Linked DNA regions of Xenopus tropicalis. The main gene of each other region encodes a partner of the protein of the gene in region 4 in a complex. Links are inferred from orthologs where the notes say so. Each region holds a gene or a part of one and is shown on either strand. Other genes may lie near its edges.

Region 1 (2,807 bases), on a different chromosome or scaffold from region 4:
CCCATGCATCATTCCATACACTGTACACCAAGGGTCCTTAGTATGTATTTAATAACAACTTGGGCTTAAACACTGCACAGACGTTCCACCTCTTATTGTCCCCATAAAGCATACTCTTCTGCTACCTTCTGCCTCTTTCTGTCTTGTCTTTTGATCTTTGCTCTTGCTGCTCTCTGTACTTATCTCTTGGCATTTGTTGTTCTCGCTCTTTGCGTTCCTCTTTTTCCTTGTGCTGTTCTTTGTACTTATCATGGGAATCACCTTTGCTGTTACTCTTTTTGTGAGAGCCACGGTTTTCTTCCATGGCCCTTGAGCTCTCACTTCCCACCCTGGAAAACTTCTCAATTGTCCTGGATCTGTCATAAGGGGAATCCAAACGTTCTTGTTTGTTATGCCTGCTGTTGCCACCCTCTTCCTCTTTCCTCCTGCTTTTGTCTTTTTTTTTCTTCTTATCTAACATGAAAAAACAAAAAACTATCAATTTAGTTTAGCAGAAGAATTAAATACACAGATCAGCTGTAAACAACCAGCAGGACTATAATAATAATGGCAAATGTAAAATTGGAAATTGTAATAAAATATGATAATTTTTCCTGCTACCATCACTAGTTAATGCTGTGAATAAGGCAACAGCATGATAGGTAAAAAAAAGGCCCCAATTTGAAAGGTTAAATGTGCTTAGGTAAATTAAAATATTGTATTCTAGGATACTTCTCCTGTTTAATGAAAACATAACAGTGATTGTATTTTTTTTTGGGGGGGGGGTATAAGCAATCCATCCCTTGCTACTTGTAACGAGTTCACACTATTAGAAAACTACTGATAAAACACCTTTCTTTTTCCTTGGTGGCTCTTCGTCTTCGTCCTGTGAGGATGACACTGGGGATGGCGTTCGTGCCCCACATCCCTTTTCTCTAAGAGATTGTGTAATTTCATCAATGTCTTCTGCATCCTTGGGAGGACGATAATTGGCAACATGATCTACACGGATTGTGCGCCCCTTTACCTGAATAAACAGAATGGTATTCCCAAAGTAAGAATAACTAAAATCCACTTTTCTGGTAACAGGCAAAAAAATGTTTAGGACAAAAACACTGTTGAATAAGTGGCATGGTTGGGGAGTGGTAATATAAGGTTATCAGGTCTTCTTTGCAGGGTTTTTCTCAAATTGTAGCCAAAATCATTAAAATACAGGTAGTGAAATGTCAGGATGCTGGGAAACGGCAGCAGACCTTGAAGCTGTCCCTGTATTTTATATAAAACAATCTTTATGGGGGGGGGAAGTACCATAGGCACAGGTTACCCCAAAGAACCTGGACCACAGAAGCAAAAGCATAAGCAAGAGATGGACAATACAGAAAAAAACATGGAATAAACAATAATAGGAAGAACTCTTTCTAGTGAGCCTATTGAATGATCTTTAGGTGGCTGCTAAAAGCGAAGAAAATATTGTAAACACGAATGGAATCCCTTACATCTATGTGTATCTCTGAGTCCTCAATGATATTGTATTCTAATAAACAATAAAGAGGGACCTCACATGCATAAAAATACATAATGGGTTATGCAGTCATCTGGATAAACTTTAGCCCTATGAGTATTGTAACATGTTATTTGTTACCTTGATGCCATTAAGATTATCCACGGCCAGTACAGTGCTTCTCTGATCCTCAAAACACAAGAAGCAAAAGCCACGGGAACGGCCTGAAGATTTATCACGGACCAGATTAATATTTACCACCTCACCATACCTGAAGAATATTCAACAATTAGGACACAGCCATTGGTAAATTTAAACAAAATGTAGGAAAAACTTTTAAAATATCATAACAAATTATTTTCTCTTCTCTTAAATTTGGGAGGATAGGCACCATGCCTGCAGATGGAAAAAAAAGACACTAAAAAGTAGCTACTACTCCGCTTCCTCTAGGCTTTATCCCCAGCATGCTACCCTCAGATCTTCAGTTTCCTGGACTGAACAAGGGGAGACCCTACACAGAGTCAAATGTTTTACCTCTACCCAAAATAAAACCCAACAACAACAGTAAAACCTAAAATAGAGAACATGCCTAAAAGTATAGGCAACTAACACTGAACAAGAAACCAGAGGAATGGCCTGTTTCCCAAAACCTGATTCGTTTTAGGAAGTGACCAAATCCTATAACTTTACAAAGCATACAGTCAAATCTCAAGTCTGTAGTCAAAAAAAATCCAAATCCTGAAAGTCATGATGTTTTTTTTTTGTTCACAAATGGTGATCTTTTACAAATTTGTATATGCATATTATGATACAGTATGGTATTTGGTTTGTTGTTCTGTTGAGCCTTTTGTAAAGGATTTTGCATTTATGGATTTGATGCATCACTACTAAAATGAAACTAAGGATCTGAGGAAAGAGAGGAGACAGAGCCTAGAGCAGAAAAAGGAGTCACTTTTAATGCTTTCAGGATCTTTATCATCCCATGGTGCCTGTGACTCCAATCTAGAGAACAGAAAAGTGAACTTCTTACCATTCACGATGTCAATGCAAACATCTAGGTTTAGATGAGCCACTGCTCAAAGCAGAACAAACAGTGAAACTCTTCAGGCTCCAATCTTGGGAGACAGAGTCTGAAATCCCCCTACAATTCAGTTTGTTGATTGTCCTGTCTCAAGAAGGTGGGGCAGAGGGTGTGCCCCTGTACTTTATCATGTTATACTAGTTTGTTTAGTTCTTGTTGATTCAACAAGACATTAAATGGGCTTTCCCTAGTGCCTGGTCTAGTGCTAGTGCCTCTCTTTATATATGGCTCATACCCTATACTTAC
Region 2 (4,696 bases), on a different chromosome or scaffold from region 4:
CCTTGGCTTGTTTGCAGTGTCGGACTGGGACCCCAGGGGCCCACTAGAAAACCTTAGACCATGGGCCCACTCTCCAAATTAATTTTCCTCCTTTCCTCACTAAAACCACTTTATTCTCCTAGTCTGTTTTATTTACATGCTAGCATCTATTCTTCCATCTATTTCTTCTCTTTGTTCCCATTCAGAAATAGGGAATGACCATGAATAGGCCAAATGGTGAGGAGCAGGAGGGCCCACTGACCCCTGGGCCCACCGGGAGTTTTCCTGGTATCCTGGTGGGCCAGTCCGACTCTGTTTGTGTGCACTGTGAATCCCAGGGGGATAAAAGTGAGTTATAAAATACCCTATATTTAGCATCTGTGCCACTGGTCTTTTTTTTTACTTATTTTTAAATTATTTGCTGCCTTTTTCTGCCTCTCTATGCTTTCAGGCAGTCAGCCAGCCAAAAAACTATTGCTCTGAGAGGCTATTGTTATTCAGTACCATATCTCACGTGGTTGCTAGTTTAAATATGACCCTAGCAACCAGATAGTTGCAGAAATACCAAACTAGAGACGTGTTAACATCCCAATTCCTTATGCACATGATTTATAGCCATTTTACCCCTATATACATGTGTGGCGATATAAAGAGTAGAAGGCCATTGCATATTTATATTTGGGCTGCTTTTTACCCCCAGTCTGGCCCTGCAGCTTGGTGTTTCCATTTAACGTTCAATTTTCAGTGCGGCTTGGGCAGCATGCCACCCTAAGGGCTCTGGCACACGGGGAGATTAGTCGCCCGCGGCAAAACTCCCTGTTCGTGGGCAACTAATCTCCCCGAGTTGCCTTCCCCTGCCATCCCACCGGCGAACATGTAAGTCGCGGGTGGGATGGCACACGCGGCGGCGCGATTTCACGCAAATCGCCGAAGTTGCCTTGCGAGGCTTTTTCAGCGATTTGCGCTAAATCGCGCTGCCGCGTGTGCCATCCCACCGGCCACTTACATTTTCGCCAGTGGGATGGCAGGGGAAGGCAACTCGGGGAGATTAGTTGCCCACGAACAGGGAGTTTTGTCGCGGGTGACTAATCTCCCCGTGTGCCAGAGCCCTTAATCTGTTCCGCCCCGGGCCTGGGCCTTTGTTGCCTGGGTGTCACGTGTTTTCTATTGAAACGAGTGTCTGGAGGGGCGGGGTCAGACGGTATTGCGCCAATACGGCCCGTGGGCCATAGTTGTAAGAATTGTGTGAGCAGCAGATAAGTACCACAGTCTTCATTTTTTTATCCTCTGAGGTTTTTGCCACTTTAGCACTTCTACACTTTCCAATTTCCTGCTACCAAGTTGCCAACCTGAAGAGTGAGTAGGAGAGGGTCTGAAGAGAAAAATACATCATAAATATATAAATCTCAATACAAAAGTATACTCATAGCATGACATTTTGTTTATTTCTATTGTTCCCACCCTCACACTTACCCGGGTAATTCTGCCCCTAACGCTACAGTTCCGCCTCAGCGCTTTGCGCCTCCCTCACGCTTCCCGCCCGGAAGTAGGACGAGAACTGGCACCCGACTTGAGGCTTCTGCCAGTACGGTGACATCACTTCCGCCCACCCGGAAGCGCAGGTACTGCGGGCTGATAGAGAGCGGGGATGGGTGACGGGGAGTCGGAGCGGTTTCAGTACCTGCAGACGTTGGTCACTGAGTTCCAGGACACGGACAGTGTCGGTAAGGGAGAGAGAGGGGGAGATTTAACCCCATTCAGTTTCGTTACGGTTGTAGTTTTGTACCAACTCTCCGCATCATTTCCTCTTCTCATTAGTTTCTCCCCTTAATTGCTCAGAAGCCAAAGAGCAGGTCCTGGCCAATCTGGCCAACTTCGCCTACGATCCCCGGAACTTTTCCGACCTGCGGAAGCTACAGGTGCTGGACCTGTTCCTGGATATGCTGACTGAGGGCAATGAGAACCTGGTGGAGTTTGGCCTGGGTGAGAGAATGTACTGAAGTGCTGAGCCCACAATGTGCCCCCATGTGTGGCAGGAGGGTCACAATATAATGCAATATAATCTCAGCTCCCACCAGCATCCTCCCCCCAGCATCCTCCCACCAGCATCCTCCAGCTCCCCCCAGCATCCTCCTCAGCATCCTCCCACCAGCTCCCCCCAGCATCCTATCCCAGCATCCTCCCACCAGCTCCCCCCCAGCATCCTTCAACTCCCCCCAGCATCTTCCTCAACATCCTCCCACCAGCATCCTCCAGCTCCCCCCAGCGTCCTTGCCAGCATCCTCCAAGCTCAGGGGACACATTGACTTGATGGAGGCCCTGAGTGTAACGCTGGCCCGAAATCACAGGCCTCTCAGCTCCCCCCAGCATCTTCCCACCAGCATCCTCCAGCTCCCCCCAGCATCCTATCCCAGCATCCTCCTCAGCATCCTCCCACCAGCTCCCCTCCAGCATCCTTCCCAGCATCCTCCAGCTCCCCCAGCGTCCTTCCCAGCATCCTGCTCAACATCCTCCCACCAGCTCCCCCCCAGCATCCTTCAGCTCCCCTCAGCATCCTTCAACTCCCCCCAGCATCTTCCTCAACATCCTCCCACCAGCATCCTCCAGCTCCCCCCAGTGTCCTTCCCAGCATCCTCCTCAACATCCTCCCACCAGCTCCCCCCCAGCATTCTTCAACTCCCACCAGCATCTTCCTCAACATCCTCCCACCAGCATCCTCCAGCTCCCCCCAGCGTCCCTACCCAGCATCCTCCCACCAGCTCCCCCCAAGCATCCTCCCACCAGCCCCCCTCCAGCATCCTCCCACCAGCTCCCCCCCAGCATCCTTCTCAGCATCCTCCTAAACATCCTCCCCCCCCCCCCAGCGACCTACAGCGACCAATCAGGAGTCAGCGGACCGGATTAAAAAGGCCAATGGGCCAGACATGGCTTGCAGGCCGTAGTTTGCCCACCCCTGATATAATGACTCCGCCCCAATCTCCAGTTGATGGACAGTATAGTGAAAGTGGCTATAGGTGGGCAGTGGGTAGATGCTTAAATTTTCTGCTTGATGACAGTGGGACGGACCATTGAAAAAAAGCCAGTGTCAGACTGGGGGCCCCTCACTGAGGGTGGAGGGCCGATGTTGCTGGCAGGGATCAGGCCTGGGTTGGTGGGGCCCACTGGGATTTTTCTCATTGTCCCAGTCTGTCCCTGGGAAAAGCCCAATATGCAACCTGGCACTGGAGGGGGGGGTGGCAGAATCAGTAGGTTTTATCAGCCCATCTATGGCCACCGTGTACCACCCCCCCCAACCCCTCGCCTGTCATTGGTCTCTGACAAACACGGCTCTGGTATATTTATCGTTTTCACTACAAACTTCTGTGCGATCCTTTTATACCCAGATAAACATCCTGTGTTGCGAATATAAACATTGGGTGCAGTGAAAGCCCAGTTATCTTGTATTAACCACTTCCAGCAGGACGGAAGGATATTGTAGGTTTGGGCAATATGTTTTTTTCCATCTTTCCTATGGGATCCCCCCCCCCCCTAAAAAACATGTCCTCAATTTCAATTGTGATCAAACCCCCTGTAGGTCATAATGTCTTTGAAATTGTTAGTTTGCCTTTAACCATTCTCTCTTTTCCAATAGGGGGTCTCTGTAATCTCTGCCTGGACAAGACTAACAAGAGTCACATACTAGACTCCGGGGGGCTGAAATTGGTCATCAATTGCCTGTCCAGCCGTCGGGAAGAGACGGTGCTTTCGGCGCTGACCACACTCATGTTCCTGTGCACGGCCGCCTCCCGCACTGAAGTGACGGCTCCTGCTGTGGTGGAGTGCATGGTGCGCTTCTCCCTTTCCACCAACCGCAGGATCAGCAATTTGGCCACCATCTTCCTGCAGGATTACTGCAGCGATAAGCAAGTGCAAGAAGCCAAAGAACTGAGCCAACATTCGGCATTGGGAATCCCGCTCCCTGAATCCACGCAGCACCCCATCTGACTCCCGTGTCGGACATTTGCACCCTACTAGAAACAGATGCAGCATGGCTGTTCTCGGAGTGTGACAAACTCTGTGTTTGAAGTGCTGGTCACTTTCATGATCATGAAACAAGTTTGGGAGACAAGTGCAAGCCTTGCCGGACTGCAGTCCCCTGCAAGATACTGTTCCGTGATTCAGTTATGGACTGACCCCATGGTCCCTCGTGTATTTATTTCTACTGTATTAAAATCATTAAAGAGGAAAAGCACTCGGTGCTGCTATCTACACTGCTATCCACTCTTCGTGAGTGGCCAATGGTTGGCGAGATTGTACAGTTGTGTTTCTTAGCTCTCCCCAGCAAAGCTTCATGGGTTATTCAGGGTCCATGAAAGGGGTGGGGGAACCTTATGGTAGGGGGTGACACTTGGGTGGATCATGGGGAGAGTTTTAATATAATTGCAGTGGATTAGGGATGTGGCTATGCATGTGAGGGGATTCATTTTACCTGTTTACAAGGCCTGGAAGCACAAGAGACTGGTGAGCTAATAATTGAGGGGGCCCTGCTAGCTTTTAAGTATGGGGCCCATGAATACCGATGCTCAAAGAGTCCAATAGCCAAAGATCCAAAACACAACCAAAATCTGGAAGGGCGGTGCACACACATATACCTCATACGTGCAACAACTACTTGATGATAGATACTGGCACCCCAATATTACACATTGTAACTCTACTGAATTTAATGAAAGTGTGA
Region 3 (4,748 bases), on a different chromosome or scaffold from region 4:
AAAAACATGTTGAGACTGTTATCCAGGGCTGTGGAGTCGGTAGAAAAATTCTCCGACTCCTCAGTTTCTGATACTTCCGACTCCTCTGTTTTTAATATGCGAATGTATTTTATACATTCATACAGTCAGTGAAAAGCATGCTTCATGGTCACTCAACGTGTTAGTTTATGCACTGCGTGCATTGGGCTTTATTCTTATAGCAGAGAAGTAATTAATTATGACTGTTTGTGAATTGGGACATTTAAACTTGCTTTATTTTTTTTTTTTTATTCCCATTTAAATTTAGTAGGAGTCGGAGTCGGTTCATTTTTTGCCGACTCCGACTCCAGGTACCCAAAATTGCCTCCGACTCCTCGACTCCGACTCCACAGCCCTGCTGTTATCAGTAAATGATCAGCATTGTCTACTACAAGTAGCAGCTACTATTAGCTCCATGTGTCTTCACCCTAAGGGCTCTGGTACATGGGGAGATTAGTCGCCCGCAACACGGGAGATTTGTCGCGGGCGACTAATCTCCCCATGTACTAGAGCCCTAAGGGTACAAACCCACTGAGTGAGTTAGGAGAGATCTATCACATGTGAGTAACTGCTTCGAAAAGGCTTTCCACAGGTAACAATAGAAGTCGCTGGTGGAAAGCCCTTTGTATCGTTTCGTGTTCCGAAGTTGCACAAAGTTTCCTCCTGCAGGCAACTCTGCGTGAGTAGTCCTTTTTGGAGCAGCTACTCGCATGCGATATTGTGGGCAAGTAACTCGCTCGGTGGGTTCTTAGCCTAAAGCTGGCCATACACGGGCAGATCCGCTCGCTTGGCGATGTCGCCAAGCGAGCGGATCTTCACCCGATATCACCACCTACGGGTGGCGATATCGGGGAGGAATTTCGGTGAATTCGATCGTTTGGCCCTGGGGCCAAACGATCGAATTCTGCAAGCAGCAATGGGGCAGTCGGTTCGGGGACCACATCAACGAGCCGATGCGGTCCCCGGTCTGACAGGATTTTCTAACCTGGCCGACCGATATCTGGCCAATTTCAGGCCAGATATCGGTCGGCCAGTCCGATCGTTTCTGCCCCTGCACGGGCCGATAAGCTGCCGAGTCGGTCCAAGGGACCAATATCGGCAGCTTCTATCGGCCCGTGTATGGGGACCTTAAGAGCCTGAAGACAAAGGCAGAAACAACCGAAAATATAAAATGAAGACTAGTTGAAAAGTTGCTCAAAACAGGCTATTCTATAACATACTTAAAGTTTAACTGAAGGTGAACCACCCCTTCAAAAGCAGAAAAAAATGATGTCCTACGTATTTTGGGGACTCGGGCATAAAATAGCGGGGGATAAAACTAATTGGGTTGGGGAGTTGGGTTGTGTGCGTACAGTGTACAGTACAACATAATGCACTTTGCAGAGACTTTACACATGTCGAGTTCAGACTCGAGCCTGTATTATAAAAGTCCTCTCTATCAAAATCAGATGGATCAGGTGAGGTAAAAAACGTGATTTATAAATCAGACTAACCTGGGACAGCCATAAGTCACAATTCTCAGCGTCCGTACACAGAAGATCGCACCCCTCAAACAGTTACTGCGCGCCTCCTAACCAATTCACTTCCTCGGAACTCAATCACAGCATGGACTTGTTTCTCAGCGGAACAGAATAAGCGGTGCGCAGTGGAACGCAAATGAAAGCTCTGGTTTCCGGGAAGTGTACTTTCGGCCACACTAAGAGAAAGGGGGGAACTAAAGCAATGCAACTCTGGTGTAATCATCCTCTGCTGTAGACGCTGTGATCTTGGAGCATTCGGGTAACAAAATACGAGCTACTATATAACTGTGGATGGGACGAGTCCTGTTAACGCTCTTTGCTGTGTCATTTTTAAATCAGAATCTTCTCTGGCACCCCTCTGAGGCTGTATGTGGGCGGTCCCGTCCTGTCAGGTTGCACGCTGGAGTTTGTTTGCAAGAAGCTGAGTAACAATGAGCAATATTTACATTCAGGAGCCGCCGACAAACGGCAAGGTGAGCAGCGGGAGAAAGTAAGGGGCTTGTAGGGCAGAAGGATAAAGGAATAATATTTAGCATGGGATTCCCATCTGCTGTTGCTGAAATATCTCTCCCAGCGCGGTACCTGATAAAGGAAATGTAAAGTCTATAAGTAAATTTACTCAATGTTTTTCTGTGAAAATACATTTCCCAGGGTAAATGTTTTAGTTTCGCGTCATGTAGCTGCCCCCCCCAGCTGTCAGCACATTGGTATAATCCACATGGGGAGCAGAGAGGACTGTGCTGCGCTTTATGGAGACTCCTCCTGCATATTCAGCCCTAGGACAGAGCTTCTGAGCTGACTAACTAATGTCCTGCTAGGAAGGTGCCCAAATGCACCAGTGCAGGCTGTCCTTTAGTTACATGAATGGGCTCCAGGCGAACCCCAGCCACATATATAGGCTATATACCAAACTAACATACCTAAACTATATATACCAACATCAATACTAACTGTAGATATTAGTATCACAATAGCCTTGGATATTCTGCTTGTTCAAGAACTCATCCAGGCCCCTCTTATAGGCATTAACAGAGTCTGCCATTACCACATCACTAGGAAGGGCATTCCCCAACCTCACTGCCCTCCCCGGGGCGTGAGGAACCCCCTACGCTGCTTCAAATGGAAGCTCCGTTCCTAAGGGGGGGCCTCTGGTGTGGTGGTTGTTTTTATGGGAAAAAAAGAACCCCCCCATCTGCCTATATTCCCCTCTAATGTACTTGTACAGAGTAATCATGTCCCCTCGCAAGCGCCTCTTTTCCAGAGAAAACAACCCCAACCCTGACAGTCTAACCCCATAGTTTAACCCTTCCATCCCCTTTACCAGTTTAGTTGCAGTCTCTGCACTTTCTCCAGCTCATTAATATCCTTCTTAAGGACTGGAGCCCAAAACTGCACTGCATACTCAGGGTGAGGCCTTACCAGGGACCTATAAAGGGGCAAAATTATGTTTTCATCCCTTGAGTCAATGCCCTTTTTTTAAGCACTTTATTGTAGCCACAGAATGACACTGCCTAGAATTAGACAACTTGTTATCTACAAAAAAAACCAGATACTTCTTTATTAAGGATCCCCACAACACACTACTATTTAGTGTGTAATATTATTACATTATTATATTATTTCTACCCAAGTGCATAACTTTGCAGTTTTCAACATTAAACCTTATTTGCTGCCCAGTTTTCCAGCTTTGTCAGCTCTGCAAAGCGGCAGCATCCTGCATGGAACTTATAGTTTTGCACAATTTAGTATCATCAGCAAAAATAGAAACAGTACTTTCAATGTCCACCTCCAGGTCATTAATAAACAAGTTAAAAAGCAAAGGACCAAGGACTGACCCCTGCGGTACTCCACTAACAACACTGGCCCAATTAGAAAATGTTCTATTTACCACCTCTCTCTACACTGTAATCTATCCTTCAATCATTTATTTATCCAATTTAAAATATTATGTTCCAGTAGTGCTGGGCGGTATACCGGTATATACCGAACACCATTTTTTTAAAAAAAAAATGATAAAAATTTTTAACTTACCGGCATACCGGTGTGGGCGCCTCCTGGCAATTTTTCTTACTATTTCCGGGTTGTGCGCGCTGACGTCGCGCGTGCAACCCGGAAATAGTAAGAAAAATTGGGGGGGGGGGGGTGTTTGGGGTGGTCACCTAATCATGCATGGGGAAAAAAAAATACCGTCAAATACCGTGATACCGATATAATAAAAAAAATACCGTGATATAAATTTTTGGTCATACCGCCCAGCACTATGTTCCAGGCCAAATTTTACCATTAACTTTCTGTGCAGTACTGCTAAATGCTTTAGCAAAGTCCAAGTAGATCACATCCACTGCCATCAACTTGCTCACCTCCATATTGTTGCTCAATGTCATCCCATTTCTTTCTATATGATGTACCCATAAGTATCTCCTGAACTACGCTGTGATAATTATATATCTAGTTCCATGTAAGAGGTAAAGAAGGTCTACAGCAGTGAGCCCCAACCAGTGGCTTGCAAGGAACATGTTGCTCCCCAACCCCTTGGAAGTTGCTCCCAGTAGCCTCTGGCTTGGATGCAAATTTTGGGGGCATAAAGACCATGTGTACTGCCAAACTGAGCCTCCTGTAGTCTGCCCATCCACGTTGGGCTACCTAATAACCAGTCACAGTCCTCATTGTAACCCCTAGAAAACTTTTTCGTGCTTGTGTTACTCCCCAACTTTTTTATATTTAAATAATGCTCACGGGTAGGGTAGGATGTCCTGTGTGAACTTGTGTCATACTATATGCCACACGTGAAAGACAAAGGCAGCAAGAAGAGGAAGAAATCCTGCCCAAATAATAATTTTTACTACCACTTTTCCAGGTTTTGCTGAAAACAACTGCTGGAGAGATTGACATTGAATTGTGGTCAAAAGAGGCACCAAGAGCATGCCGAAACTTTGTACAGCTTTGTTTAGAAGGTAACGTTGCAAACAGAAACACACACTTGCAATAAAAGCCAGATTACTTCAGAACTTTAGAAAACCGTTGATAATGATGCCTTGCTAAGCTGATCCTTGCAACCAAAGAGAAAACCAACAGTGGCAGGCAATAATTTATTATTTTTTGCTTCTATTGGGTCATAGATTTGATTTTCTATTGATTTCCCCCTTCTTCTTCCCTTTTTAAATTGGGTAATCTATTTCACAACCCCTTATGCACTTTGTTTTAATAAAT
Region 4 (4,089 bases):
TCTCTGCAGCATGGAAGTTTATGTTTAATCTGTAGTTCTGTGTTATGATTGCTGAGCTGCAGATTGGCTGGCATCCTACAGTGCAAAATGCTGAAATGCAGGAAATGTACAGATGCCTGCTGCAAGTAAGGTTTTGGGGATATGATTCTAAAAGTTGTATAAAAATACATTTTGTTAACATTTTTTACATGATTACATACAGAAAAATTTAGAAAACAATGCATGAACACTATCGGAACTTCCAGAGAGTAATCTAAATGTTTTTTTTAAGGATATTATTGAGATATTCACTGCTGCCTGTGTCCATGATGATGTCTCATTCATAAATGAATTGATGTCTCAATTCAATAAATACAGGATATAATTATCTCTATTTAGAGTCGTAATGTTAAAAGTGGTGTCTTTCTTTCAGACCTTTGAAGATAACATTAGGAAGAACAGGACGGTTATTAGTAACTGGATAAAATATGCACAATGGGAGGAAAGTCTAAAGGAAATTCAGAGGTATTCACTTTTTTAATTAAATTGGCATAGATGGCTTAAAATTAAATTTACGCTTATTAATGATTTGAATTTTTTTTCTTGCTTTTAGGGCACGGTCTATATACGAACGTGCTTTAGATGTGGATTACAGAAATATTACACTATGGCTGAAGTATGCAGAGATGGAGATGAAGAGCCGCCAGGTTAATCATGCACGAAATATCTGGGACAGAGCAATCACTACCCTACCCAGGGTCAATCAGTTCTGGTAGGTTTGTCACTTTTCAAAGGAAAGACTATGCTGATTTATACATATAGGTAACCAAAAATAATTAGAAATATATGGAGTTATGGGGGTAACTTTTTAGTAAAGGATTTTGTGTTATAGGAGTGCTGCAACTTAAGGTCGATAATCCCTATGTACAATGTAGATAATATGTAGCTTGTTTCTGTCGTGATTTTATGTCCTTTAGAAAATTGATTGTGCTGTAGCATAAGAAATGTTTTGACCTTCGAGTAATAAAAGACAGTGCTTTGATGTTTGAAGGTACAAGTATACCTATATGGAAGAGATGCTCGGAAATGTGGCTGGAACGCGGCAGGTTTTTGAACGTTGGATGGAGTGGCAACCTGAGGAGCAAGCTTGGCATTCTTACATCAACTTTGAGCTCAGATACAAAGAGGTGGACCGGGCCAGGTCTATTTATGAGAGATATATCCTTTGTGTATAAATGTGATAAGTTACTATGTTAAGAAATTCTTTAGAGTGGGTGCTGTGATGTACAATAATGCCAACATTGCAACTAAAACCTATTTAGGGTTCAAGGGTTTCCGATATGCGATCCCTTACCTGTACAAAGTAAAAACATAAATATCACAGAAAATTTGATTCTTTAACATCTGTGTACTTGTAATTGTGCACCCTGATGTGAAGAACTGGATCAAATATGCTCGCTTTGAAGAGAAGCACGGTTATATTGCCCACGCACGAAAAGTTTATGAAAGGTCCGTGGAATTCTTCGGGGAAGATCACATGGATGAAAACCTGTATGTTTCATTTGCTAAATTTGAAGAGCATCAAAAAGAAGTGAGTTTTAATTTACTTTAGCCAAGCTGTGTTATTTTAAACTGTATTAAATTGGGAGACATCAATGGGAGCACATTTAATGAATTTGTCAAGGCTCTGTATATGTCAGTAATTGACCCTAGCAACTGTTTTCAGCTCCTTATCTTCTCCCTTTCCTGTGAGGTTAGATGTAGCTACTACTGTCTTATTGCATTAGAATAGGTTTAAAATCAAGTTTCTCTACATAAAAATGTGTTTACTCTTCCAATTTGTTTTAATTCTAAAAACTGCCACATTCCCAACAAACGGGTGAAATAGAATGTAATTTAGGTCCAAGGAGACCAGCCTGGGATGATGATGTGCTGTTTGTCATCTGGTGATAGAAGATGCAGATGACATCTGTAACTGTGTTAAAGTTCCAACAGGATTACATCCTATTCAGCATGTTTATTGTTCTCTACACAGTTTGAAAGAGTCCGTGTCATCTATAAATATGCTTTGGACAGAATATCAAAGCAACAGGCCCAAGAGTTATTCAAGAATTACACTATTTTTGAGAAGAAATATGGTGACCGGAGAGGTATTGAAGATATTATAGTCAACAAACGGAGGTTCCAGTATGAAGAAGAAGTAAAGGTAAGGGAGCAATATTTTATGCAACACAGAAAACACAACTAGGAGTAAGCTTGCAAAGACTAAAGCTATTTAGTTGACCAGGGTCAAGTAGGCTATACACGTACTTATAGTACTTAAACCAATTTAGGGTGGTTCTAGGCATTTGAACTGTTTTTAGTCTGTTTACTGCTAGATAATGTTGTTAGGAACTCTATTCTAGCAACGGAGCAATGTGTGTATAGTTTTAAGTAGATTTAACCGATTGCCTGCCATAGATCAAATAATCTTAAGTGCCAGCAGTCAAGAAGCTGACCTCAAACACTACAGATTTTTCTTTTCTTGATGTGTGTGACTGGCAACATGCCGCAGGTTAATTGCTTTTGAAAGTGACCGACCGACTTGCCCCTCTATCATTACTTTTATGGTGATAGTAAATCAGTACCCAAACACTGCTCTGCCCATAAGTTTAATGTGAAAGATCAGTTTAGCACACATGGCCCACAGTAAATAGAAATACTGACTGGCACCACAAAACTGTTTTGTTTTTTTTTGTTTTTTTAACATGTTTCTTATGGCATAACCTGAACAGTAGTCCTTGGGTAGTTTCCATTTCTTTGCATATTACAGTATATAAATTATTTTGAGCTTGCATAGTTTTTCTAGTCTGCACTGCACTATTTTTTGTATAGGATAGAAACAGAATAGGAAGTAACAAACACTTGTGCTGTCCGAATGTTTGTGACACAATGAAATGAGCTTTAAATATGTTCGTAATGAATAACACAGCTGCAGTTGGTCACATCTCATGCCAGAAGAGCAATTCAGCAATAGGTAACAAAATGGCACAAGATGGAGAAATCACTTGATAAATATACAAATGTCTTTCTCCCCAGGCAAATCCTCATAATTACGATGCTTGGTTTGATTATCTGCGGCTGGTTGAAAGTGATGCTGATCCTGACACAGTTCGAGAAGTTTATGAACGGGCTATTGCCAATGTCCCACCTACAAAGGAGAAGAGACACTGGAAGAGATACATTTATCTGTGGATAAACTATGCCTTGTATGAGGAGCTAGAAGCAAAGGTGAAAAAAATTGTAATCCACAAGAAACTCTTGTAACTGTGTAATAACCTAGCATCCTGCGCGCACCAGACATTCTTTGTCTGCATATTTACATTGAATTACACTGCACATTTTTGCCCGCTAGATGGCAGTTGTGTGTCAGACATCTCTTAATGCAGAAAACAGTCTGAAAAACATAGATCATATACACTTTATAAAGTGTGATTATTATGACTGGATCTGTTGCATTTCCTTTTATAAAAGCAGCGTGTTATAGGAAAAAAAGGAATAACCCTAAACCAAACCAAATTTTTTTTCACTTAGCTAATGGACAGATTTTAATGGTTTTTTTACATACTTTGAATTTCAGGACCCAGAGAGAACAAGGCAAGTCTACCAGGCCTGCTTAGAACTAATCCCTCACAAAAAAGTAAGAGTCTTTGTAATTGTTTGTTTTCCATGAGCCTTATGTCATTTTACGAACTAAATTCTAGTCCTAAATTTGAGGATTTGCCTGTAGCTAGGCAGAACAGCCCACTCTTCAGCCGCTGTGCACAACACCAGGTAGGGGTGAATGCTGATCTGCCTCACGTGATAGTAATGATCTCTGCACAGGAGTGAGAGATTTTGTTGTTTTAATTATGTCTTCAGCCATCTTGAATTTTAACTTAAAATATTAGGGCTCTTACTGCTACTTGTTAATCTAGTTTTATTTTACAGTTCACATTTGCAAAAATCTGGCTGATGTACTCACAGTTTGAAGTCAGACAAAAAAATCTTCCATTTGCAAGAAGAGCTTTGGTGAGTACCATCAAATACAGGGAGCACTATTTTCTATCCTAAGACTCGCGGTGATATTAA
Region 5 (4,631 bases), on a different chromosome or scaffold from region 4:
CAAATTTGTACATACAAATTAAGGCAAGTAAGGGTTAAAGAGAACCCCACGCAGAGTGTGACAAAAAGACAGGTGTTTTTAAAAATTCGGATTTGGTTCGGCCAGGACCTTGGATTAGACTTAATCCTGCACCGAATCCCGGATTCAGTGCATGCCCTTGGTGTGTTTGTGTGCTACAATAGCAGGAGGCCCTTAATATATAAAATGGCAATTTTCTATGTAGGATTACCCAATAGCACGTGCTACTAAAAGAAGTATATTTTCATGCAATTTATTTAGAAGATGCAGGGTTTTACATCTGAGCTGTTTATGCAATATATTTTTATAGAGACCTACATTGTCTGGGGTATAGATTTCCTTTGCTAAGAGGCTTGGGCCACACTGTGGCTTTCAAACATAAGTTTTACTCATTTGAACTTTTTGCCCCAGTTTCTTTTTCCCCCAGTTTCTTTTTGCCCCAGTTTCTTTTTCCCCCAGTTTCTTTTTCCCCCAGTTTCTTTTTGCCCCAGTTTCTTTTTGCCCCAGTTTCTTTTTGCCCTACCCATTTCTGATGAAGTTTGCAGCAACAGTACTTGCGGTTTAATGGTAAGGAACAGAAACCTGAACAGAAAGATAAGTCCCTGTGCTAAGCAAATGTAGCAGGAAAACTAGTATGTTATATTAAAGGACAAGTAAAACCTGGTATATAAGGCATCCCACAGCCATTAGTCCTGTACATTAAAAATGACCAATTCCTATTGGACCCCCAGGCATTTGTGCCCCTTCCATTCAAGTGCATGGGAGTGCTACCCCAGGGGGACTTTGAATGGCAGCAGAGTATAATAAAAGAAGTAATGGAAGATGGGCTGTAACGCCCTATGACATAAGACTAATTACACCAGACTATGGTACCTGCATTTTCCTAATGTTGTCCCTTTCCAAGCTCTTCACCATAGTGTCTATCGCATTTTGAAGCCGGTTCTGCTGTTCCTCTGCCATGTCTGACAAGCGTGTGCTCCAAGGGCAACGCACCTCTCTTCCGCCCTTACACATACCCTTCCGGTTACGGCTTGCCCTTACTCTAACTCTACGGCATCTACGTTGTTTTGCGGCAGACATCTAAGCTGACCGACTAGCTTCCATAGCCCCAAGTTTTTGTTAAATTCTTCTATAACCAATCAGGGAAAACGTATATATGTAATCAAATTTGCAATATTTCTTATATACTTTAATATTTGATACACAATGTTATATTTAGCCCAACTAAAGCCGGCTAACGCGTCTCCTTTGTATTCTTTGGTGGTCGTCATAGCGACCGTGGGGGTGGGCGGGGAAGCGCATACACGTAAGACGTGCTTACGTCACATTAAGGCGACTGCGTTACTTGGCGGCAGCGACCGGGGCTTTGTACACGAGGAACGAAAATGAGCAAAGCGCACCCGCCCGAGCTGAAGAAGTAAGGAACGGCCCGGGGGGGGGCAGTGAGGGGCAGAGCGGAGGGGGCAAGTGAGGGGCAGAGCGGAGGGGGCAAGTGAGGGGCAGAGCGGAGGGGGCAAGTGAGGGGCAGAGCGGAGGGGGCAGTGAGGGGCAGAGCGGAGGGCAAGTGAGGGGCAGAGCGGAGGGGCGGCTTAGGCTGTAGCCGGGGAACATACACCCAAACCTGCAGCCTCCATTGCGCTGTTTCATGTTGAATGGCCCGTTTTGGAGCATGGAGGCTGCAACCACATCATTCACACAGAAAGAAATGGGGATCTTTTCGATTCCCACATATCTTCCAATTATATTTTGTGGTCAAACTGATTGATTGCCCATATATTGCAATATACTCCAAGCTGGCCAACTACATCAGTCGCAGTCATAGGATTCATTAAGGATTCTAGTATTTCATAATGTGCACATGGATCTCTGGGAAGAGTGAAGTAGCTCTTATGCCTGATACTAACCCTATAAGGGAACTGCATTGGCTTCTCTTGGGTCCCTAGTCTAGTGATCTGAGCACAGGTGATTAGGTCTTGTTGAGTTATTATTATAATATAATGTATTTAAATGTTGTGTACTTTTTACTTTTAGGTTCATGGACAAGAAACTGTCTTGTAAGTATTGAAAAATTTTCCATCTACTTGTAAAAAGAAAAAAAAATAAAGGAAAACTATACCCCCCAAACAATGTAGGTCTCTATAAAAATGTTTCATAAACAAGCTCATATGTAAAACTAAATTAATCTAAATAAACCATTTTCTTAAAAATATTATTTTTTTAGTAGTATGTGCTATCGGGTGGTACTAAATAGGAAATTGCCATTTTATGAATTAAGGGCCACCCCCTGGGATCATAGGATTCACAGTGCACACAAACAAGCCAAGACACACATACATGTTAGGCCCCATCAGCCAATGAATGGGCAGAGTTCTGCCTTTTGCTCCCACACTACTCCCTGTTACAGTCAGAGCTGCATTATTTCCTGTCAGCTGATCTCTGAGGGAGCACACAGCCCATCACTAAATGGTGGCTCAAGGGAAAGGATGTAAAAGGGCAATATTTACTAATATATATTCCAGTTTGACAATATTCTTTAATAGGCCACTTAACAAAATATAAACTATCTGTTGGTTAAGTATTCGTTCTGGGGGTATAGTTTTCTTTTAAAAAATAAAAATATATATGATGAGGTCTGTGCTCGGACCTTATTCAGGTGCTTGGCCAAATAACAGTGTTATTTAGAATAAGAAGCAGCAGAGAGATGGTGCAATGAAGGATTTATTCAGGATACAGGACTGCTGTTCCTCACTCTATATAAATATATGCAGTTATAAGGGAACTGTACCAGGTGACTCCCCAAACCAGTAAACCACCAAAACCTTGAAGCATCTGATCAAATTTCCTTTCTTTTCTTTCTTTCAGTGAAGTTAAATGGTGGGAGACATGTCCAGGGGATTCTGCGTGGCTTTGATCCCTTCATGAACCTTGTAATAGATGAGTGCACAGAGATATCAGGGGGTGGCCACCAAAACACCATTGGAATGGTGGTAAGTGTTAGACTGAGCTGCAACATATATTGTATGGTCCCTTACTGTGTGTGTAATTTAGGGTGGCCGTTCATGGTCAGATTTTCCAATTTTTAAACTAACATTTGAGGACAACGCAACGCAAAATATAATTTTTTGCCTAATAAAAGAAAACAGAATTCTCAGCTTTGCAATATACATTTATTACAAATTTGTAATGGTTTTTGAGTTATTTGTATATATAATTGCTATTAGAAGCAGTGTTTGTCTGTCCTTTTCTATTCTCTGCCCTGGTGGCTCTGGCATTTGAAACAATGTAACACAAGGCAGCCAACTGACAGACCTGACTTGGGGAAGGAGACTGACTTTTGCAACATTGTTTAAAAAGTAACCACCAGGAGTTCGGCAAATGCTGCTTTCAATAGCAATTACATTTACAAATGGCATTTAATCATACAATGTTATCCACAGAGAAGTAGCACGTTAAAGATGTCGTCATTTTGTTGCCAAAAGGTAAAGTAATATTGTGCATCTACAATGCTATATCAGCTTGTGGCGGAAGCAGTATAAACAGGAAGTGATGTATTTTTCATCAATTTTTATCGATATTGGTATGCTATTTGCTATTACAACAAGTGAACGAATGAGTTCTGCTTGTTTGTAATGTGGCTGGTTGCCTTGGCTTGCTGGTATTGCAGCAAGGTATTCTTTTGCCTGTATTTATATTTACCAACAGCATGCACATGACTTTTCATAGTGTTTATGTGGTTAAAATGTAGGGTTGGCAACAAACATTTGGGTCTTGTCATATGCGTTCGTTGACTTCTGCAGGTACTGCCAATATATGCACAGAAAGCGACTGTTCAACGACAACTTTCACACCAACTCTTATCGTTGCCCAACTGATATTTTTAAGAATGTTGGGCCAATTAGTAAATTCTTACATCTAGAATTGTTTGTACACTACCAGCTATACAGTTTGTCCTGAAATCAGTCGTGAGACTACAAAATCTGAGCATGTATGGCTGCATTTAGTGGAATATGGTCAGATTATTAGCAGCTAATATTGCAAAGTGTATTGGCTTCTGTGAAGTTCAGATTAAATAATGACTAATCGGCTGAGCAGCTTTAGTACTTTAAAGATGGCCAGTTTAAAGAGAGGGATCTAGCCCATGTTTTCTGGGTAGGATGAGTTCATTGTTTTATTATATGCACAGTGCATGGCTACATACATCAGTGCTATGTACCACATGCATTTAAGTTAATTGCCATTAAGCCCAGCATTGTGGGATTTCTGTGTTCACTAGGGATGTACTGAATCCACTATTTTTGGATTCAACCGAACCCTGAATCCTTCATAAAAGACTTATTAGAATTTGTTGCATTTATTAAGGGGTGATATATGTGGTTAACCTTTCTTTTTTTGCTTTACAGGTAATTCGAGGGAACAGCATTATAATGCTGGAAGCTTTGGAGCGAGTTTAGCTTTCATTTATAACAGTTGTTAATATGCCCCTTCCTCCTCCTCCTGGTGCAAATGCCCTTATGTTAAGTGAAGATGCTACATTCCTTCTGTGAATTTGTTTTTTGTATTAAAAGCCTTCAAATAGAAGTTCTACTTTGTGATTTTACTTAAAAGAGCATTAT
Region 6 (4,089 bases), on a different chromosome or scaffold from region 4:
CTCCATTATAAGCAAATAATTCAAATTTTTAAAAATGAAAAATAATAAAACAGTAAATTGTATTTAATTCCAACTAAGAGAAATGTATCCTTATTGTAGGCAAAACAATCCTGTTTGGTATATTTAATGTTTTAATGACTTTTTAGTAGACTTAAGGTATGGTATCCAAATTTTTGAAAGACCCCTCAGCTGGAAAACCCCAGATCCCAAGTGTTCTGGATAATAGGTCCTTTACCTTTTTGTTATACATTGTTTTCTTATATGATTGATAGCTGCTCTAATTCATATGTAACCCTTTTGCACAATAGATAACACATTACGTGCATACTGTAAACTAAGTTATCCTTTTACTGTGTCTATTAATCAAACAAAAGCAACTACCATTGGAAATCTTGTCTCTCTATGTCAAAATGGAGCAATGTTGAAGAACCGGCAAATTGTCTACAAATTTGTTTTTCTTTTTTTCGCCTGTTGGCAGCTTGTGAAACTCAACTCCCAGTCTCTTTCCGCCATCTGATTCTTCCCGAAAAATACCCACCGCCTACTGAGCTGCTGGATCTACAACCACTGCCAGTTTCTGCCCTTAGGAACAGTGCATTTGAGAGCTTATACCAGGATAAATTTCCTTTCTTTAACCCTATCCAGACCCAAGGTGAGAGGACATTGTCCCCCTCTTTAGACTGCCTTATTTACATTTTAGCAGTAGTTTTCTATATCTGATCATTGAGTTAGTTGAGACATGAGTGAGCAGCCTGTAACTGACAGATGCTGAAGTCAGCAACTTTACTTGTTGTGATGCCTCAGGGCAGTTTTAAAAAAATAAAGTACATGTTAAAATTGTACTTTTTATAAAATGAACGAGCATCTTAGGGAATATTTGTACCACTCATTGTGCTGGCTGTCAGTTGGGTAACTTTTGTTTCCCGGGATATTGCTTTAAAACTGTTGTCTTGTATTTAAATGTGTGCCCTGTAGCCCAGTAGCTGTAACACAGCTGCTTAATTATATTAACTAAGTAGTGTTTCTGGAGCAAACATACACCCTACACTGGTAGAACTGTATTAAATATAAATCTCCCCCGTCCTTGTTTTTTTCCCCCCACAGTTTTCAACACAATATACAACAGTGATGATAATGTCTTTGTGGGAGCTCCCACAGGAAGCGGGAAAACCATTTGTGCAGAATTTGCCATACTCAGAATGCTGCTTCAGAATTCCGAGGGCCGCTGTGTTTATATAACTCCTATGGAAGCTCTGGCCGAACAGGTATGTTCGTATATACAAGCTGCAAGAAATCGATAAAGGCTTATAGAGTAGGGGGTAACTTTGTTTTACCCCTTTAGCTCGTATATTGTTCATAGATCATATACAGTTGTGTAAAGGTATAAAGCTGCAGTAACGGTGATCTCTGTTCATAGACCTTTGTACCCTATACTAATCACTCATTTTTATATCCTGTTAAAACTTTTTCACCAGTGTTTCAGTACAGGTATGGGACCTGTTATCCAGAATACTCAGGATCTGGGGTTTTCCAGATTAAGGGATCTTTCTGTAATTTGGATCTCCCTACCTTAAGTCTACTAAAAAAAAATAATTTAAACATGAATTAAACCCAATAGGATTGTTTTGCCTCAAATAAGGATTAATTATATCTTAGATGCGATCAAGTACAAGGTTCTGTGTATTACAGAGAAAAAGGAAATAATTAAAAAAAAAACAAAAAACTGAATTATTTGATTAGTGGAGTCTATGGGAGATGGCCTTCCTGTAAATTGGAGCTTTCCGGATAACGGATCCCATACTTGGACATGTTTTTCTTGCTTCCTCTGGGATGTAATGTTCTTTTCCAATTTTTAGCGTGGATTCCTATTGTTCTATGAATATAACTTGTGACTTCAATCTCTACCTCCAGAGACTCTTACAGCTTAACTTTCCTCTCAGAGGGAGATGTTCCAGCAAGTGCTGAACATTTTGCAGTAATTAGATATTTTTGGAGGGTGCACAATTTGTATTTGTTCTAAAAGTTGTTTCCAGAAAGTGGTACACACTTAACTCATTCCCCTCCCACACACACGCTTGCAGCACAGTCCCATTACCCCATTACTTATGTGCTTTCATTAGTGCTCGCTGTCAGCTGCTAGACACGACTCATTTATGTAAATATATGCTAAAAAAGAAATCATAGCGCTTTACTCCTCTTCACTGTTCTTTTGCTGCCTGCGGAAATATTCTTTGTTCTTTTTTTCCTTTATAAAGTGCTGCTCTCAATATTCACAGTTAATTAGAAACAAAGTTAAAGAGGGATTTGTATTTCCATTTATTTCTTTATTAGTAAAAATTGTGCTGTATGCTCACTAGGAAATGTGCAGTTTCTTATCTAGAGAACGTATGCCTACCTACCTTGGCAAGAAAGGAAACTGGCCATGCAGGGTGTTCGACTGATTGATAGACAGCAAGTCTCTTTACATTGCTACATTTCTGCATTAATAACGAAGAATTAACCAGTATCAGCGACTGATATATGTGGTTGTTCATCTGTTTGAAACTTTATATCAGTTCAGTGTGTCAGGTTGATACCATTTATCCATTTTAAACTTCACTTGGTAACCCTGGTGGGATACAGAGGGAAAGGTTTGGATGAAGTCTGCTTATTAAAGTCTGGGTAAACTAGATTGAAGCTAGTTCTTGAATCCACTCTTTGTCTTACTGTCTTAAAGGAACAGTTCAGTGTAAAAATGAAAATGGACAAAATAGATGGACTGCGCAAAATAAAAAATATAGTGAGGCAAAAATATCATCCATAAAGGTTGGAGTGGGCAGATGTCTAACATAATAGCCAGAACTCTACTTCCTGCTTTACAGCTCTCTAAGCTGTTAGCGGTCAGTAACCAATGAGTGACTTGAGGGGGGGCCATATGGGACATAACTGTTCAGTTATTTTGCATTTGAATCTGACCTGTGTGCTCACAAACTAACTCAACAGTTATGTCCCATGTGCCCCCCCTAAAGTCACTGACTGACTAAGAGGTTAGAGAGCTGAAAGCAGGAAGTAGTATTCTGGTGATTATGTTGGACATCTGCCCACTCCAGCCTTTATAGATTACATTTTTGCCTAGCTAACTATATTGCAAACATGTTTTATTTTGCACAGTCTATCCATATTACCCAGTTTCATTTTTACACCGAACTGTTCCTTTAAGGTTTTTATTTTTTCTACACCATAATAAGAACCTAATATGGGCCCCAGTGTATAATGCCCAACTGGTAGTTCACTTCACCAAAAATCATAAAGTGAAAACCAGAAGGATAATAGGATCTTGGGTAAAGCTGCATTTAGGCGTTTTAGACAAACTGACTTCACTTTTGCATGCTTTGAATACTAATAAGTTTGGCCTATGTATGTCCATCTAGGTTTTCATGGACTGGTTTGAAAAGTTCCAGGACAGGTTATATAAGAAGGTTGTCCTGCTCACTGGTGAGACCAGCACTGATCTGAAGCTTTTGGGTAAGGGGAACATTATTATCAGCACCCCAGAAAAGTGGGATATCTTGTCCCGTCGATGGAAGCAGAGGAAGAATGTGCAGAATGTCAGTCTATTCATTGTAGATGAAACTCACCTCATCGGGGGAGCCAATGGAGTAAGTGAAAACAAAATCCAGCTTTTTTTAGTTGGGCAAGGGCTATATTGAGCCATGGATGCATATGATGCACAGGACTCTATTGAGATCCTATAACTATTGTTCACCAATCAGATCAGCCTGGTTGGGTTAAACACTTGGGTGGCCAAACGAGCAGATCTTTGCATGTTGCCAGCTTAACTTTGCACTGTAATACAGATGAAGCATTGTAACTTTGTGTGTAAAAGTAAAGCAGTGTAGTGATAATGGTTGTAAATTTTATGGACTGAATGGGTCTGTGGTATCTCACACAACAGAACCACTAATAATGCTCCTCTGTAAACTGCACAAATGCAATCATTTACAGTTAGTTTAAAAGCTGAACAGTCATGTAAAATGGGTAGGATTGGAGATTTCTAAAGCAATATTTCCTTCTCTTTGCAGCCAGTTCTTGAGGTAATTTGTTCCAGAA
Region 7 (4,728 bases), on a different chromosome or scaffold from region 4:
TGTAAAAAATGCTATAGTTAAATATGGTAATGTTTCATTATACATTAACATTAAAGTGATAGTGCAGCAATTAGCATAAATAATGCCACAATGTGCATAGATTTGTTTAGGTTTGTTAAAATAGCATAAAAGATAATAATTTATAAGATAATCAAAAACAAGTGCAAAGTGAATAAAGCATGGTTTTAACAATACAAACACATAGTTGTGCAAAACAGAACAACAAGGCTCAAGCTCCCTTTAGAAGACCCCTGTGTCCAGGAAGAGGCAGCAGCGGCACAGTGGACACAGAGATCATATGTGGGGGGGGGGGGGGGGGGGGGGGTTCAAATTGGAGAAGGAAAATTCTAGCTGGTGGAACAGTAATCCTGTAGAGGAGCATTGTCACATGAAGACGCTGGCAGAGTTCCGAGAAGGGAACCACTATCAAGTAAGAGATTTAACGACACATTAGCTTGCATGCAAGTATCTAGAGAATTTTTAAAGACCTCTAAGTTGCTCTCAGGAGTACATAGACTGTGATTACTATGGGGAGGAATATACAAGCTGTTACAGACCAAACAATAATCACAAGGGAACAGTTCCTGTGTGACTGATTCTATACCGTAATATAGGAGAACTGAAACTCGCAAACACATTTGTTGTTCTGTTTATGGAGGGGGTGAAAATGTGTGGTAATCGGAAAAGTGAGAGTCAGAAGGTTGCGGGGGATAAAGGGGAAAGTTAGGAAAAGTGTGAGATCAAAACAGAAGGTCCTGAATGAAAGGGCAGCGGAGGTAATAGGGAAAGCAAATGAGAAAAGACAAGAGGTTAGAAAGAATCTTTCATGGAATTGTCGTTGCTACTAGAATTTTCCTCTCCCATTACCCACAACTATGTATTCATGCCATTCTGTTTTCCCTGCACCACCCAGTGCTGATTCTGACTGCCAACAATTCGGCCTGATGTACCAGCAGTTCCACTCTTTTCAGACCTGAGCATTCAATCTTAGCTCTGCCCACCGCTGTCACGCCTTGCCCACCTGGCCCTGTCTGTAGGCTGCAGTCTTTTCTAAATAAATATTCAGACAGGATCTTTCTTGCTGATTAATAATAACATCAATTATACGTTGAGTAGGCTGGTAACCTTAGCAATCTGATATGTTACCCTCGCTAAAAGCTCTCTCTCTCTGCAAAAATGTAATTTTTCACATTTCCTTTTTTCCCTAATGGCCATCTCCCATCTGTCTTTTTCTATCACTGGTTGCCGAGCCCTGTTATAAGAACTTTAAAATACTTCCAGTCACACTGTTTAGACGTGCATACTGTCACACAAAATGTTGTGTTTCTGTTTCGTGCAAAAGATGTTCTTCTTTGTCAGGGCTGCTGTTATACTGTTTGCTAGCACACTGCAAAGCGGGCACTCACCTCCAGATGTTCCAGAATATCAAACACCGCGTTGGCATTGGTTCTACTTCCCAGTACTGCTGCGAGTTTGCTATCCAAATCGTGGCGCTCGGCATCACTTTGCTTGGCAAAGCTCGAACTCACACGTTTCGCTTTGCGCGCTGCCATCTTGCTACTGGAGCAACGCGACTTCCCCCCGGTAATGCGCCTGCGTGCGCTTTCTAAACAGGAAGTGGCCTCAGCCAATGCGCGCAATCTGGAGCTAGTCTGGCGTCACAGGAATAATGGCGGACTCTAACGCACCAGTTTGCAGTTTCGTGTTTAAAAAAAGTGCCCGAAAGTTCGCGGGACGGAAACGCAAAGAATCGGACAATGGTGAGACAAGGAGAAAGTGGGAGTGCAAATAAATGTTTATTATAATATAGTATTATAGGCATTACACGCTTACCGTGTATAAAATTCAGCAAAGTGTTGGGATGGAGTAAATGAGTTAAATGCAGAAGAGAGCGCAGATACAACTAATTGCGCAAGTGTTGTTGCTGTTAGCAACCAATAAGGTTTTTGCTTTTATTTTCAAACGTGTATATTGGCCAACTATTCGACTTTGTTCCTTACTCAAAACCACTATCTTAAAGGAGATGCAGGTGAGGGTGGCTGTATTGTTTGCTGGATATAATTACCATTAGAAATCAGTAGCATGTACCAGGGAATTAAGGTCCAAATGACAAAACAAAAATCAAACCCATCAAAGTATTTGCAAAACATTAACAACAACAAATATAATTATACATACAGCCTCATTTACTGTTCATTGGTACAGGTATGGGACCTGTTATCCAGAATGCTCAGGGCCTGGGGTTTTCCTGATAAGGGGTCTTTCTGTAATTTGGATCTCCATAACTTTAGTTTGTTAAAAATCATTTAAATATTGAATAGGATTGTTTTGTCTCCAATAAGGATTAATTATATCTTAGTTGGGAATCAAGTACAAGATACTGTTTTATTATTACAGAGAAAAAGGAAATCATTTCTAAAAATGTGAATTATTTGATTAAAATGGAGACTATAGGAGATCCGTAATTTGGAACTTTCTGGATACAGGTTTCCGGATAAGGGATCCCATACCTTTATGTCACTGGGCTCACATGCATTTGGTGTCTTAAATTTATCGAATTTCAGAATAGTACTTAGATGCATCTGTTGTATAAGTGTGTTGTACTATTCTGATCAGTCCTTTACTGATTTGTTTGCAGAGAGCAGCGAGGAAGAGAAAGGTCCAGTGATAAGGAGGATAAAGAAGGATGTGGTTAATCCCATGATTCAGAAGGTTAGAGTCACAGGTATTCACTATGTCACCCTGAGGCCCCAGGAGCATTAAGGAGCTTTATAAAATTTTCTGCCAGTTAATCTTTCAGAGTGGGCAGCAACACTTCTCCCAGATATTTCCTGTAGACCTCTCTGTTTAGAGATATAGATACCACATCATCTTCTCCTGGCAGCTAATGGCTGAATGGAAGCACAACACATGCCATAACCCTCTCCAGCCTGTCACCCTGTGTGCAGGACAGACGTTAACATGCCACAGAAGGGATGTGTGTAGTGTTTGTCCTCTTGAGCTTTCTGGTAGTTGTATTTACCTCTGTGTGTGATTTAGAGCAGGCAGCAACCAAAGGACTGTGAAGATTACAAAGCAAGCAGCAGTGAAGATGAGGACAAAACAGCGAAGTCTATCACTGTGTCTTATAAATCTACCCGATCTGCGGTAAGAGACTCTTTTGGAATTGGCTTATTCTTAGCACAGGCTTTATGTCATAAATGTTAAAATCTTTGAAACCCATCATCAGTTAGTTCTTTGTGATATTTTATTCAGTTTGTGAATCAGCCTATGCTGTCTGTCTTGTTTCAATATAAATGATGCATTGAAAAAAAATCTGTATTTATAGAATGACATGTCTAAGACACCCCCCATTTCTTACTATGTATGCATTCTTTGTTTCTTGCAGAAACCAGTAGGGCCAGATGACATGGGAGCCACAGCTACATATGAACTAGACACTGAAAAAGACAAGGATGCTCAGGCAATTTTTGAGAGGAGCCAGAAAGTACAGGAAGTGAGTATTTAGTATGTGATGCAGTGGATTATATATTCACCTTAAACTATGAGAGAACCACTAAAGCAGAGAACCCCAACCTTTCTTACTCATGAGCCACAATCAAATGTAAAAAGACTTGGAGAGCAACACAAGTGCCATAAAAGTTTGTGGAGGTGCCAAATAAGATAGGTAGCCTCTATGCACACCATCAGCTTACGAGGCTTTATTTGTTAGCAAATCTTGTTTTTATTCAACCTAAACTTGCCACCAAGTCAAGAATTCAAAAATGAGCACCTGCTTTGGGGGCAGTGAGAGCAACATCCAAGGGGTTGGTGAGCAACATGTTGCCCCCGAGCCAATGGTTGGGGATCACTAAGGAATGCAATAAGTGTTAGTAAAGCATGCAGTGTTCTGCATGACTTACATGCAGTTTCTTTAAAAATTCTGTGCTTTTTTTCTCTTCACTTTACTTTCTTTAATATTGTAATACTCTCCTTTTCATAGATGACACTCTGTTTAGTTCCCACTATTTATTTTGCTTTAATCTGACAGGAGTTGAAGGGGAAGGAAGATGACAAGATCTATCGAGGAATCCACAACTACCAGAAGTTTGTGAAACCCAAAGATACCTCTATGGGCAATGCATCCTCTGGCATGGTTAGGTACGTGTACCCCTCCCACTTTCCATTCTGTTTTAATTTAGAAACATTTCACTTTTCAATCAACTGGGTGATTAAATCCTAATAGTTTAGTCTGCATTGATAACTTTAACTTTTATCATTTTAGGAAAGGACCAATACGTGCCCCAGAGCACCTCAGAGCCACAGTACGTTGGGATTACCAGCCAGATATTTGCAAAGATTACAAGGAGACTGGGTTCTGTGGGTTTGGAGGTCAGTTGCTGGATTGTGTTGTACCCCTTTCCATTAAATGTCTGTTGTTCCTTTGGCCCTTTTTGCCCATATTTTATTCTCTCTTCCCTTACTATTATTTATTATGTAACACTGCAAGTTTTACTCACAGCTAGTTTCACTTATACTGGGCCTAATTTAAGTACACAAGTATGAGCAATTACCCATAGCAGCAGTCAGTTTTTTACTTTTATTTTCTAACTTGTGGACTGATTAATCTTATAGCTGGCTTCTGTTAGCAAAGGAACAGTTTAGCTTCCACTCATATTTGCAACCTTCTGTTTCTGCACCCAAAGTCACTGTGTTGATGAAACCCTTGAGTATGCATTTCTGTGCTGA

What was found.
Region 1: crnkl1 (region 4) and rbmx2 share a complex: the UniProt entries of both Homo sapiens proteins name them as parts of the minor spliceosome. The link is inferred for Xenopus tropicalis from reciprocal best matches to the Homo sapiens genes CRNKL1 and RBMX2.
Region 2: crnkl1 (region 4) and armc7 share a complex: the UniProt entries of both Homo sapiens proteins name them as parts of the minor spliceosome. The link is inferred for Xenopus tropicalis from reciprocal best matches to the Homo sapiens genes CRNKL1 and ARMC7.
Region 3: crnkl1 (region 4) and cwc27 share a complex: the UniProt entries of both Homo sapiens proteins name them as parts of the minor spliceosome. The link is inferred for Xenopus tropicalis from reciprocal best matches to the Homo sapiens genes CRNKL1 and CWC27.
Region 5: crnkl1 (region 4) and snrpg share a complex: the UniProt entries of both Homo sapiens proteins name them as parts of the minor spliceosome. The link is inferred for Xenopus tropicalis from reciprocal best matches to the Homo sapiens genes CRNKL1 and SNRPG.
Region 6: crnkl1 (region 4) and snrnp200 share a complex: the UniProt entries of both Homo sapiens proteins name them as parts of the minor spliceosome. The link is inferred for Xenopus tropicalis from reciprocal best matches to the Homo sapiens genes CRNKL1 and SNRNP200.
Region 7: crnkl1 (region 4) and rnf113a share a complex: the UniProt entries of both Homo sapiens proteins name them as parts of the minor spliceosome. The link is inferred for Xenopus tropicalis from reciprocal best matches to the Homo sapiens genes CRNKL1 and RNF113A.

The regions. Positions count from the first base shown.
Region 1 is NC_030684.2:38,934,690-38,937,496, forward strand, and holds part of rbmx2 (RNA-binding motif protein, X-linked 2), read right to left. Parts: intron 1,752-2,807; coding exon 1,622-1,751; intron 1,007-1,621; coding exon 832-1,006; intron 454-831; coding exon 122-453; 3' UTR 1-121. UniProt on the Homo sapiens protein: Involved in pre-mRNA splicing as component of the activated spliceosome. As a component of the minor spliceosome, involved in the splicing of U12-type introns in pre-mRNAs.
Region 2 is NC_030686.2:44,366,006-44,370,701, forward strand, and holds armc7 (armadillo repeat-containing protein 7), read left to right. Parts: upstream 1-1,555; 5' UTR 1,556-1,627; coding exon 1,628-1,703; intron 1,704-1,707; exon of another isoform or gene 1,708-1,797; coding exon 1,798-1,962; intron 1,963-3,610; coding exon 3,611-3,963; 3' UTR 3,964-4,565; downstream 4,566-4,696. UniProt on the Homo sapiens protein: As a component of the minor spliceosome, involved in the splicing of U12-type introns in pre-mRNAs.
Region 3 is NC_030677.2:188,226,150-188,230,897, reverse strand, and holds the start of cwc27 (spliceosome-associated protein CWC27 homolog), read left to right. Parts: upstream 1-1,705; 5' UTR 1,706-1,797; intron 1,798-1,877; 5' UTR 1,878-1,969; coding exon 1,970-2,011; intron 2,012-4,395; coding exon 4,396-4,492; intron 4,493-4,748. Other genes in the region: protein SREK1IP1, read right to left, coding at 1,512-1,524. UniProt on the Homo sapiens protein: As part of the spliceosome, plays a role in pre-mRNA splicing. Probable inactive PPIase with no peptidyl-prolyl cis-trans isomerase activity. As a component of the minor spliceosome, involved in the splicing of U12-type introns in pre-mRNAs.
Region 4 is NC_030681.2:36,930,238-36,934,326, forward strand, and holds part of crnkl1 (crooked neck-like protein 1), read left to right. Parts: intron 1-412; coding exon 413-504; intron 505-592; coding exon 593-751; intron 752-1,030; coding exon 1,031-1,197; intron 1,198-1,391; coding exon 1,392-1,570; intron 1,571-2,014; coding exon 2,015-2,185; intron 2,186-3,057; coding exon 3,058-3,249; intron 3,250-3,598; coding exon 3,599-3,658; intron 3,659-3,948; coding exon 3,949-4,029; intron 4,030-4,089. UniProt on the Homo sapiens protein: Involved in pre-mRNA splicing process. As a component of the minor spliceosome, involved in the splicing of U12-type introns in pre-mRNAs.
Region 5 is NC_030679.2:122,085,440-122,090,070, reverse strand, and holds snrpg (small nuclear ribonucleoprotein G), read left to right. Parts: upstream 1-1,376; 5' UTR 1,377-1,403; coding exon 1,404-1,435; intron 1,436-2,049; coding exon 2,050-2,072; intron 2,073-2,880; coding exon 2,881-3,005; intron 3,006-4,418; coding exon 4,419-4,469; 3' UTR 4,470-4,596; downstream 4,597-4,631. Other genes in the region: protein FAM136A, read right to left, coding at 892-978. UniProt on the Homo sapiens protein: Plays a role in pre-mRNA splicing as a core component of the spliceosomal U1, U2, U4 and U5 small nuclear ribonucleoproteins (snRNPs), the building blocks of the spliceosome.
Region 6 is NC_030679.2:125,082,782-125,086,870, reverse strand, and holds part of snrnp200 (U5 small nuclear ribonucleoprotein 200 kDa helicase), read left to right. Parts: intron 1-478; coding exon 479-652; intron 653-1,104; coding exon 1,105-1,265; intron 1,266-3,410; coding exon 3,411-3,638; intron 3,639-4,061; coding exon 4,062-4,089. UniProt on the Homo sapiens protein: Catalyzes the ATP-dependent unwinding of U4/U6 RNA duplices, an essential step in the assembly of a catalytically active spliceosome. Plays a role in pre-mRNA splicing as a core component of precatalytic, catalytic and postcatalytic spliceosomal complexes.
Region 7 is NC_030677.2:156,458,045-156,462,772, forward strand, and holds the start of rnf113a (RING finger protein 113A), read left to right. Parts: upstream 1-1,651; 5' UTR 1,652-1,669; coding exon 1,670-1,760; intron 1,761-2,638; coding exon 2,639-2,712; intron 2,713-3,039; coding exon 3,040-3,147; intron 3,148-3,388; coding exon 3,389-3,496; intron 3,497-4,030; coding exon 4,031-4,140; intron 4,141-4,264; coding exon 4,265-4,371; intron 4,372-4,728. Other genes in the region: noc4l (nucleolar complex protein 4 homolog), read right to left, coding at 1,407-1,553. UniProt on the Homo sapiens protein: Required for pre-mRNA splicing as component of the spliceosome. As a component of the minor spliceosome, involved in the splicing of U12-type introns in pre-mRNAs. E3 ubiquitin-protein ligase that catalyzes the transfer of ubiquitin onto target proteins.